3 linked regions of the Saccharomyces cerevisiae S288C genome follow. The gene in region 2 interacts genetically with the main gene of each other region. Each region holds a gene or a part of one and is shown on either strand. Other genes may lie near its edges. The genes, in order: AZF1, GLN3 and POL1.

Region 1 (3,760 bases), on a different chromosome or scaffold from region 2:
TAAAGATTCTGTTTTTATCAATATTAAGGGAGAGTGGGTACTATTTGGGCTAGAACTTTGTTCAAGCAAAGAAGGATTAAGTGCGTTTGAATTTGCCAGTAGAGCGAGGTCATATTACAACATAATTGGCTCACAGTTGCCCTGTGAAGATCCGAATACAATTGATTCAATGGGGTTAGGATTGTTGATAAAGAGCCTTATGGCTCCTTCTTGTCTGCCCAAAGATTGGATTGTCAATGTAAATATGATTTCAGATGGAAAGATAACAATCGAAAACTTCAGAAAAAGGCTAGAAAATACAGAAACTTGGCGTTCTAATCCTTTGATAAACTTTTATCAAGAATTGAGGGAGTTGCATATAAAGGACCCACAGGGAAAATTGGTTGTGATGTCAAACTTGGAAAATTTGTATTTAGAGTCAAGAGAGATTTTCCGTAATTTAACGCCTGGAATGATAGAAAATTTTATTATTCCAGAGCTTTGTGAAATTATAAAATTATTAATGACACAAAGCATCAGTAGTGCTGCCAGCCCTATAGGCATGAACTTCAACGCATCACATAAACTAGTACCATTCTTAGCGATTGTTTTAGACCTAACTTCTGAAACGAACACCTTTCCAGTTGGTTTCAACGACCTTATCACCCAAAGTTTTAAACTGCCAGATAGGCAAGTAAGATTTCTTTTACTAATATACCTACCCAAATTAATAGGTCCATTGAGCAAATCAGAGATCTCCAGTAGGATATATCCACATTTTATCCAAGGTCTGACCGACTCTGATGCCACTCTTAGATTACAAACACTGAAGACAATTCCATGCATTGTGTCATGTTTAACAGAGAGACAACTGAATAATGAGCTACTGAGGTTTCTCGCAAAAACACAGGTTGATTCTGACGTTGAAATCCGAACATGGACAGTCATCATAATAAGTAAAATCTCAACCATATTATCAACGTCAGTTGGTAATCGCTCGAATATTTTAGCTACGGCGTTCACAAAATCTTTGAAAGATCCTCAAGTAAAACCAAGATTGGCTGCTCTTTATGGGCTTGAGAAGTCGATTGAGCTGTTTGATGTGAACACAATCGCCAACAAAATTTTAACAGTCATTGCCCCTGGTTTATTAGATAAAAGTCCCATAGTAAGAGGCAGAGCCAAAATCCTGTTCGAAGAATATCTGGAAAAATTGGAAAAAGAAGCCCAACTTATTCAAACAAACGATAGTACTGCAGATTCGGAAGATGTGAAAGATATTGATTTTGAGAATTACGGTTGTGATGAAGAGGATATGAATAAAGAAGACAATTTGTTAGCCGCACAATTTTTAAATAATTTACGTTTAAATTCTCCCTCAGCAACAACACCAAGTAACATTACCGAGAGCGAAATTGATTCCGCCCAGGATGGAAGTGGATGGGACGACCTCAGCGATACCGATGGCTTTATTACAAATGGTACCACAGAATCCTTCGATGAAACAACAAACCCTGTAACAACCGCAAGCACCCCAAAATTATTCGGAAAACCTATTAAAATTAATAAAAGTTGGAATGATGAGTTGAATGATGATGGCTGGATTCAAGATGAAAGCGGCCCATCAAAGGTGCCTCAAAAACACACAAGGCCACAAAATTCAACGTTGGCAAAATCCATCGCTCCTAGCTCAAGGCTTTCTATCAAGAAGAAGAAAACAACGATCCTAGCACCAAGAAACATTGCTAGTAACTCTACTGTTACCACCAAATCGTCACTGTCCAATAAAACTGCAAGAAGTAAGCCTATAAGTAGTATCCGCGGCTCGGTAACCAAGAAAGGAAATGTTGACGGCTGGGATGATGATGGGGATTCAGACTCCTGGGATACGAATTGGTGATCCCAAGACTTATATAGCCCTACGTATTGTAGAAGGATATATTCAGTGTTAATCGTTATTTAGAAACATTACGCCCGTGCCCCGCGATTTCGCTTCTTTGAGAAGTGGAGGAAAAGAAGGGTCCCTTTAATTCCAGTAGAAATGAAGCATAAGCAAGAAGAGTCATCAGAAAAGGGAACCTTGTAGTACTATAGATGGTCCCACAGAGAAATTAATTGGGACAAAAACAGCTACACAAGCGATATACTTCAAAAGATTCAGATATTGAAAAATTACCAGCCATGCCTCCTCCAACTGCACAGTTCATGGGCCCTACGCAGGCGGGACAAAATGAAAGCCAAAATCAATCATCAGGCGAAGCTGGGGAGCAAAACCAGGAGCATGGGCAAGGCCCTACTCCTATTCTTAATCAAAGTCAACCGGCTTCTTCTCAACCGCAACATCAACAACAAAGGAATGAGTCGATTTCATATTATACAAATTTCAACCAGCCACGATATTCCACGGACGCCTCTATCAACTCATTCTTGAACATATCTGATAACGTACCAGTAACAAGTACAGGAGGACCTAGTTCTGGCGGCGCCTATTCCAATCTTCCACGATTATCCACTTCAAGTACACATCAACCGCCAGACCTGTCGCAAATCGGACGCGGCTTTTCCATTGTAAACAACCTCTTCCCACAACAACAGCAGCTTCAAAATCAGCATCGGCAACAGCAGCAACAACAACAACAGCAGTCGCACCAGCAGCCTCCCTTCAAGACCCCTTCATTTTCGACGGGATTAACGGGAAGTTCTTCTCAATATCAATTTTTACCAAGAAATGATAATACTTCGCAGCCACCTTCAAAAAGAAACTCTGTTTATCTTGGACCTAATGATGGGCCTGATTTTGAATTTTTCAGTATGCAGCAGTCACAGCAACCGCAGTTCCAGCCTAGCAGTAGAAGAGAATCAAACTCTATGAGACCTCCACTGTTAATACCTGCAGCAACTACTAAAAGCCAGTCCAATGGCACCAATAATAGTGGGAATATGAACACAAATGCAGATTATGAATCATTTTTTAATACTGGTACAAACAACAGTAATTCTAATCAGAACCCGTACTTTTTGAGTTCAAGAAATAATTCTTTGAAGTTTAATCCTGAAGATTTCGATTTTCAATTCAAAAGGCGGAATTCTTTTGTTAGAGGTACTTTGGACCATAGCAGCCAAAATGCGTTTATACCTGAATCAAGATTAAACTCACTATCCGTTAACAACAAAGCTAATGGTGATCCTGTCGCGGATAATGTTACCAATAACATGAAAGGAAAAAGTAATGAAGTTGACAATGATGATGGCAATGACAGTAGCAATAACAATAACAACAACAACAACAACAACAACAATGAAAACAACAATGACAACAATAATGATAATAACGACAATAGTATTAATTCCGCCACCAGTACTAATATCCCAAACCAAGAGGACCATAGCCTTGCTTCTACCGATACCACAAGCAATAGTAGGAAAGATCTAAAAGAAATAGAACAAAGACTTCGAAAACATTTGAATGATGAGGATAATTACTCTAGTGCTATATCAAGACCATTGGATAAAAACGACGTAATTGAAGGCAGTGAGGGATTGAACAAACATATAGACGAGTCTGGTATGCAACCTAATATTATCAAGAAAAGGAAAAAGGATGATTCTACTGTGTACGTCAAGAATGAGATGCCCCGTACTGATCCCCCGATGAGTAAAGACAATTCTACTTCTGCTGAAGGAGCAGCAATGGCAAACTTTTCTGGTAAAGAACCTCCTATACCTGACATAAGTTCAGTAAGTGATGATGCTACTAACCTGATAGGTGCAACAAAGGTCG
Region 2 (3,760 bases):
ATAATCTATTGTTAAATTTGTGATTTGAGATAAACGAATTCGACTCCGAGTTCTGCAATTGTTGTGATAACAATGAGGTATGTGATTTTCTTGAAGAAGGTCTTGAGACACTCGGTGAATCTACAGGAGTATTAAAAATATCAAAATTTGGCTTTTGAGAGACAAAATTTGATGATCTTGAATTTGTTGAAACGCTATTGCTTGAATTCCAATTCTGTCTATTCGAATTCGTGTTTGTGTTGGAATTCACGTCCACTTGTTGCTGTTCGTGCAGTTGTTGCAAAGACGCAGCCATAAACGATGAGGAGTACGATGCATTGCGCGACATCTTTCTTCTTGGTATATTCATTCCTTGACGTTGGAAAGAATTTGATAATAGATTCTGCTGTAGAGGACTATTTGAGTTAAAGTTTGCGGACGATATAATTCTTGGTGAGGATGCGACACTATTTCCTGCACTTACATTATTTGTTGTGTTCATTAGGTTCATGTTCATGTTGAACTGCTGTGAATTAGCGCTATTAGGTGAAGGTTTTGGTAATATCGGAACAACAGATCTGGATGAAGATTTACTGGAACTTGAGGTGTTCGATGAAGTACTACTTCGTCTTGAAGACCTTCTAAAATTAGGAGTAACAGTGTTCGAATTGTGACGCATTAAGTTATTAGAATTCAAATTTGCATTGCTTGCTCCATTAAAATTTGCGTTACTACTATTATACGATTGGCTGTTCATGAGGACCGGGGAGGGGACTGAGTTGAAGTTATAGCCTCCCCTATTTACATTAAGGATATTATTAGTATTACCGATGTTGTCTCTAATGATTTCTTCAGGTATCACTCTAGATAAAGAGTTTTGTTGTAGTGATTTTTTCCTCGATCGTATGGGTTTAGCATTTGTAGTGGTTACTGAAGTTGAGGCAGTTGCAGGTGCACTTGGAGTATTTTGTGCAATGTTTGGGTCCGTTTGTTTGGCTCTCTTCTTTGAAATCCTCTTTTTGATAACGTCCGATTTTAAGGATAATGGCCTCATGGTACCATGTAATTTCTGGAAAAGACCGCAGGCATTGCAAAGAGTATTCCCCTCTGGGCTTCTCCTCCAAAGCGGTGTCTTGAAAGTTTTACAATTGAAACATTGTATCAGAGGTTTTTTATTTTGTCCTGATGGTTCCATATTGGATATACTGGAAGATACTGAGGCAGCTCTTTTGAAATTGGCCAGGGACGTGGACGACATTGGCTTGATAAGTGAGTTTTTTCTTACAGAATTTGTTGTGTTGGATGAAGATAATCCTATCGAATCGCTCTTCTTCAGAAAAGGATGCTGGATATTACTATTGTTGCTATTATTATTATTGGTAATGTTCATAGCGGATGAAGATGAGTTGTTGTTTTGTAGTTTGTAGATGTTGAAGGAATGGTGGGACTGCGCATTAGTATTTGAGTTGTTATTGATAGATGGCTGGTTGATGTTGCTGTTGGACGTGCTGGAATTATACGGGAACAGTGAGGATTTGGAGACGCTGTTGCCGAGGGAACCGTGGTTGTATTGCGGTATGTCGGAAGTAAAGCTGTTAGGAGCACTAATAGTAGCTGAACCGCTCGAGTTGCTGGGCGTCATGTTGAATTGGTCCACGTTAAAGTCCCAAAGTTGTGCAATTTCACCATTTTGTTGGTTGGATGCGGCTATGTCGATGGGCTGAGTTGTGGCAAGTGAATCAAACATCGCAATATCATCATCCATATGATTGGTAGCTGGTGTGGTGTCCTTGACCGTCTTAGTAGTCACGCTGGTCGTGGCAGCTGCTGTAAAAGGAGACACGAAGTCCGTAAAATATAAATCATCGGGCAGTGCCTCCAGCATTGAGTCGAATGTGCCGCCGTTTAATCCACTGGCAAATGCTATATCCTCCTCGTTTTCACCGGTGTTGCCACTACTCTGGCTCCTACTGTCACCAGTTTGTCTCGGCTCTTCATTACTTCGACCATGCACGTCCAGATGACTATTCAGCAGGTCGTACAGCTTCGAATTTTCGGGGTCGTCTTGCATTTGTTTGTTGGTGGGGGAAAAGGGGGCCCTGTGCTCTCTCTCGTCTCTCTTTCTTACACACTCTGTTATTGTGGGATGGGCTACTGCGCTGACATTAGCTTACCACTCTTGAACATCTTTCTCTGTCTTGCAAGATGACTCTTTCCACTCTCTCAGCATTGCCATGTCACTTTCTTTCGGGAACCTGTCCGCCGGGTAATAGAGCAAAAAATGTGAATATATCATATTAAGAATGTTTAAAGGGCCAGGTAGAGATAGAGTACAAGAATGGAAGGTTGAAAAGCTGTAAAGAGATCAAGAAGGTGTGGTAATTATGAGCAAGCATAAGCATGAATGGACGGAATCAGTGGCCAACTCTGGGCCGGCTTCAATCTTATCTTACTGCGCGTCCTCGATTTTGATGACAGTAACGAACAAATTCGTGGTTAACCTGGACAACTTTAACATGAACTTTGTGATGTTGTTTGTACAATCACTGGTGTGCACTGTGACGCTATGTATCCTACGAATTGTAGGCGTTGCTAATTTTTGATCTTTGAACAGGACAGATGTAAAAAACTGGTTTCCAATTTCTTTGCTGCTCGTATTGATGATTTATACGTCGTCAAAGAGCTTACAATACCTTGCCGTGCCCATCTACACAATTTTCAAGAATCTGACGATCATTCTCATTGCTTATGGCGAGGTCCTCTTCTTTGGCGGAAAAGTCACTTCTATGGAGTTGACGTCATTTATTATGATGGTCCTTTCATCTGTAGTGGCCACCTGGGGCGATCAGCAGGCCATTGCAATCAAAGCATCATCTTTGGAGGATCTCGATCAGGAACTTGTTGAGTCAACCATCTTTGTGTTGAATCCGGGGTACCTCTGGATGTTCACCAATTGTATTTCGTCTGCATTGTTCGTTTTGATTATGCGGAAGAGAATTCGGCTGACTAACTTTAAAGACTATGATACTATGTTTTATAACAACGTTCTGGCATTGCCTTTGCTGCTAGTCTTTTCCTTCATTATGGAAGATTGGTCCACAAAGAATTTGTCTGTGAACTTGTCCGCCGACTCACTGGCAGCAATGGTCATCAGTGGGCTCATGTCCGTGGGGATATCGTACTGTTCCGGCTGGTGTGTTCGTGTAACTTCCTCTACAACGTATTCTATGGTTGGTGCTTTGAACAAATTGCCCATAGCGTTGGCGGGATTGGTGTTCTTTGACGCTCCAAAAAACTTTTTGTCCTTCTTTTCTATCTTTCTAGGATTTCTGTCTGGCCTGCTGTACGCTGTGGCTAAACAGAAAAAGATACAACAGCAAAAAGTTCTAGCAGCTACTCTTGAGAAGTAGTACATTCTTCATTTGCTCAAGCAAAATATACATTTATATTCATTTATATGGGGTCTTCTTTGTATTTGTTTTAGGTTATTCCTTTTTTTATGTTACATATTATGTCAGCATCGTTTTATGAAATATATTCATATATAATTTTTCAAGTAAATAGCAATAAAGTGATAAAATTTTGTTAGACGCACAAAAGGGCAGTGTCACAAATGGGAAGCGTGAACTCATCACCGAATGAAGAGTTTGAAACTGTGCCAGATTCACAAATTTCAGGGTTTGATTCTCCTTTGATACCGACTAGTGTGGGAAGTTACTTTCGCGATGACGATGACGATGAGAAGGTGCATCCCAACTTTATTAGTGATCCTGAGAACGAC
Region 3 (3,760 bases), on a different chromosome or scaffold from region 2:
GTTGTTGAACAACCTGACTCTACCGGGTAGTTTCTGTTTTGCCAGTGCAGCTAAACCTAATGGGAAACTAGTTGACTGAGGCGGCCTTACTAAAGTACACAAGTCGTCTGGTTTTATATTTTCAGGTATCGGTGAATCCAACGAGATATTTCTATATGCTGATAACGTTATCGAAACAATCTCTTGCTTATTTTCCTTGGGATTCATTAACGTCTGAATCGATAAAGATAGACATCTCAGATTAGGCATTGTCTTTGTTGTAGTAGGCGTGATATTCTGAGGCTTATCTACCGAAACTTCAACCGCACAGTGAGAAGCATTACGAATTGAATTGAAATCTGCTCCCTTTATATCTAACCAGCATGGTCCCATAATCCTATTTTGAATAACAAAACTTTCAAAAATATTGGAATTCCCACCAAAAACATGATAAAAGGTATCGCTAGATAAATCCGATGGAATGGTGTCTCGACTGGACTTCGGTGTTTGGTATGGAAGTAAGACTTTCAAATAATCACTTTCAGATGGAATGTCAGGAAGCTCAAACGAATATTTCATTTTTTGAGGTTTAGCGCGGATATTATCCAGTCCATATTTATCCATCAGTAACGGAATTATTTCCTCGTGTATATCGGTAGGTGTTTTACCCTCTCTTGGAAGGAAAAATAGCTCTCTACAGAGACCGTTGATTTGAACCATGGCTGACACACAATTATCATCCTTTAGTTTAACCTTACCAAATAAAATCAAAGTGTTGTTCACTTCACAGTAATCCAACCAAAACATTTGGAAAGTATCAGTTTCCGGATCTACCACATCTTCCTTTTTGACATTAACCGCAAGTGTAGCAACATCGGTGTTGCTCTGCAAAGATTTACTTGGAGTTAGTCCTTTAATACCGATTGGCGTTCCGGGTGCTGTGACAAACGGTGAAGTTGAAGGGTTACTTCTTGAGTCTATATTCACGCGTCTAGTTGTTGTCACACTTCTCATAGTTCTTCTTTTCAGAATAATATCTTCATCACTATCTTCATCATCTTCTTCATCAGCCAAACTTTGAGCGGATGGTGGATTTGCTAGTAACGTATCTTGAAGTACATTCTGTCTCTTTGTGGCTACTACTGGGGAATTTTCCACATCATCCAATAAATCCTGTACATCATTTGCGTAGCGCAGTTTCCTGCTTTGTAATTTTAACGGTGATGATTCGATTTCTAAATATTTATCAGTACTTGAATCTGGATCAATCTTGACTTTTTTAGAAATACCGGCATCATGACTTGACTCATCGTTTCCGTTAACTCTCTTTATTGACGATTTAAATTCACTAGTCGGCGAAGAATTTAAATTTTCCCTTAATTTGGATGGCAGTAAAATATTGGGTTTTTCTACTTCACCAGATTCAAACTCACCAAGAATGTCATCAAAATTATCGATGGGGATACTTTTTTTTTGGGATTTTTTTGCATGTGCTAGCAGTGTTGATTTGGAATGTTGAGTTCGCAGCATATCTGTAATCTGGTGGTCTTTCTCCCTTTTTATATTCTTCTTCCTTTTAGAATCCTTGCTAGCAAGGTTTCCAGTGTCTTCATCACTTGAACTGTTATCAACTTCCCTCCAATCTTCTTCGACACCACGATCGACGTAGCCTACACCATCGTCATCTACAACAAAATCGTCATGCAGCAATTCCTGGCGCTTTCTGGCCCTGTATTCTTTTTCGTCGATTTCGTCGTATATTCTGTCACCATCTGATTCGTCACCTTCGTAATCATCGATGGATGTACCATTTCGAGCGGCTTGCAGCTTTCTCAATTTTTCTAATTTTTCACTTTTAGAAGACATTTTCCACTGTTTATTTTATGCCTTGATACTATTTGGTTTCTAATAGCAGAGTGAAGACAGTTTTTTTTCTCGTGAGTCTGAATTGGTATGTGTTCGTTGTCTAGACCAAGAAGATATATATCATCCAATGAGTAAAGAATTTAATTCAGTAAAATTGGATACACGCGACGCGTTTTACTTATAGGCTAACAAAAAAATTTTAACGCGTTTGAATAGATGTGTGATGAATGAAGAATAGAGATTGCAGGCAGTACAAGAAAAAAGTTATATTTCTTTAAGAAAAATGCACGTATATATATATATATATATAATTAAACTGTATAGTCTGTTATTTTATTCTTTCTGAACCTTCTCAAAAATTTGCTTCTTTAAGCTTTCAGCTTTTTTTATTCCTTCCGTTTCACCGCTACTCAGAACTAAATTCTTTAAAAGCTTGTTTTCCGTTTCTAACGTATGTATCCGTTTTTGTAAGGATGCTGCAATTTCGGTCAGTTCATGTATCGATGATTCTAACTCCTTTTCCTTTAGTTTTTTTTTTTGATGAGATTTTTTCGACTGTATCAATAAATCTTCATCGTCGTCCCCTAACTCTTTCTTGATCAGTTGCTTCTTTTCAAAGCCGTGTAAATCTGCATCGTCATATTCATCGTCTTCATTATCAGAATACTTGCGGTCGACGGGTACTTTTTTATTTTTCAAATCTCCGGAGTGTGATCTTTTTAAACTATTTTCCTTGTGATCAGAAGAACTTGCATTTAAAGTTGGCTCGGATCGTATCTTGGCAATTTCGTCTCCACGCGTCGTACTTGACTTAATAACAGCGTTATTATGATGGACATTATCGTTTCCATTGTTACCGTCACTCTCTCTTGATATTTTATGATCGTTTCGTGAAGGTTGTCGTTGATTGTGAATATTATTACTTTTTGGATGCTTTATGCCCAGTTCCAAAATGGAGCTTAGAAAAGAAGCCTCTGCTACTACACCGTGCTCATTGAACGAAGGCGACGTTGATAAGGTAGTTGGCGCAGCAGTTTCAGCCGGAGAGGGTGGTATTAAGACACTTAAAAGTTCGTTGATGTTTTTTAGAATGGGTGCCTCTTGACTGTCATTGGTGTTGATGTTTTTATTATTATTACTGTTATTTTCCCTAATCTTTTTTTGATGATGATACGCCATTATTGCGGCTATAGCATCTATTTGATCATTGTCAAATCCCGCGCTGATCAACGAGTTATATGCGCCGTTGGGCACGTTGACCCTCGGTAATAGAGTTACTAAAACAGAGGTTGGTATAATTGAATAGTCAGGAACAGTTATATTGGGGGCTTTGTTGGAGCTGTTATTATCGCTGTTACTATCGACTTTGCTTTCCGAATGTTTTCGTTGTTGTGAAGAGGAATTTTGAGCAGAAGTGACATTGCTTAGGGGGGAGGAGCGGTTCGGTGTGTGTGTTGTCCTATGTAGTAGATTTGATAGCGCATCCACTCCATTGTCACCGGTAGTATTGTTCTCAGTTGATGTAATGTCAACATTTGTGAAGCCGCCATGGTCGATTGATGTCATATTAGTTGCGTCAGCGGGAAACTGAGAAGGGCTTCCCATAAAGTTTGGCTCAAAAGGATGGTTATTTTGCATATTGTCGCCAAAGTTGTTTGTTTCGCCGTTATTGCCATTTCTTTTGTTTTTGGACGAAAATCGAGACTTTGATTGGTCGTATTGGGAAGTTAGGAAAGTATTCCTTCTTTGAGTCAAGAAGTGAGGATTTCTTTGTCTATTATTGGTAGAAGGGTCCTCATGCAATACGTCGTGGTTGCTATGGTCGTCATTACCATTATTGCTGTTGTTATTGTTATTGCTCGGCTTATCCTCGTCTGGGAAGATGAAAGAATCGTCGGCAAACGCACTCAACTCA

What was found.
Region 1: mutations in GLN3 (region 2) and AZF1 together harm fitness more than expected from each alone (negative genetic interaction), as found in Saccharomyces cerevisiae (3 studies listed by BioGRID).
Region 3: of GLN3 (region 2) and POL1, changing one enhances a phenotype caused by changing the other (phenotypic enhancement), as found in Saccharomyces cerevisiae (2 studies listed by BioGRID, with this or other methods).

What each region holds. Positions count from the first base shown.
Region 1 is NC_001147.6:531,915-535,674, forward strand, and holds the start of AZF1 (Azf1p), read left to right. Parts: upstream 1-2,160; coding exon 2,161-3,760. Other genes in the region: COPI-interacting protein CEX1, read left to right, coding at 1-1,879. UniProt on the Saccharomyces cerevisiae protein: Transcription factor involved in the diauxic shift. In the presence of glucose, activates carbon and energy metabolism genes, and in te presence of glycerol-lactate, activates genes needed for cell wall maintenance.
Region 2 is NC_001137.3:228,085-231,844, reverse strand, and holds the start of GLN3 (nitrogen-responsive transcriptional regulator GLN3), read right to left. Parts: upstream 2,051-3,760; coding exon 1-2,050. Other genes in the region: YER039C-A (uncharacterized protein), read left to right, coding at 2,364-2,582; HVG1 (putative GDP-mannose transporter), read left to right, coding at 2,640-3,389; FMP49 (Fmp49p), read right to left, coding at 3,014-3,394; Smc5-Smc6 complex subunit KRE29, read left to right, coding at 3,593-3,760. UniProt on the Saccharomyces cerevisiae protein: Positive nitrogen regulatory protein. Required for the activation of transcription of a number of genes (including the allantoin pathway genes) in response to the replacement of glutamine by glutamate as source of nitrogen.
Region 3 is NC_001146.8:428,172-431,931, reverse strand, and holds the start of POL1 (DNA-directed DNA polymerase alpha catalytic subunit POL1), read right to left. Parts: upstream 1,846-3,760; coding exon 1-1,845. Other genes in the region: MET4 (Met4p), read right to left, coding at 2,179-3,760. UniProt on the Saccharomyces cerevisiae protein: Catalytic component of DNA polymerase alpha, which in complex with DNA primase (DNA polymerase alpha:primase) constitutes a replicative polymerase. POL1 has a role in promoting telomere replication during interaction with CDC13.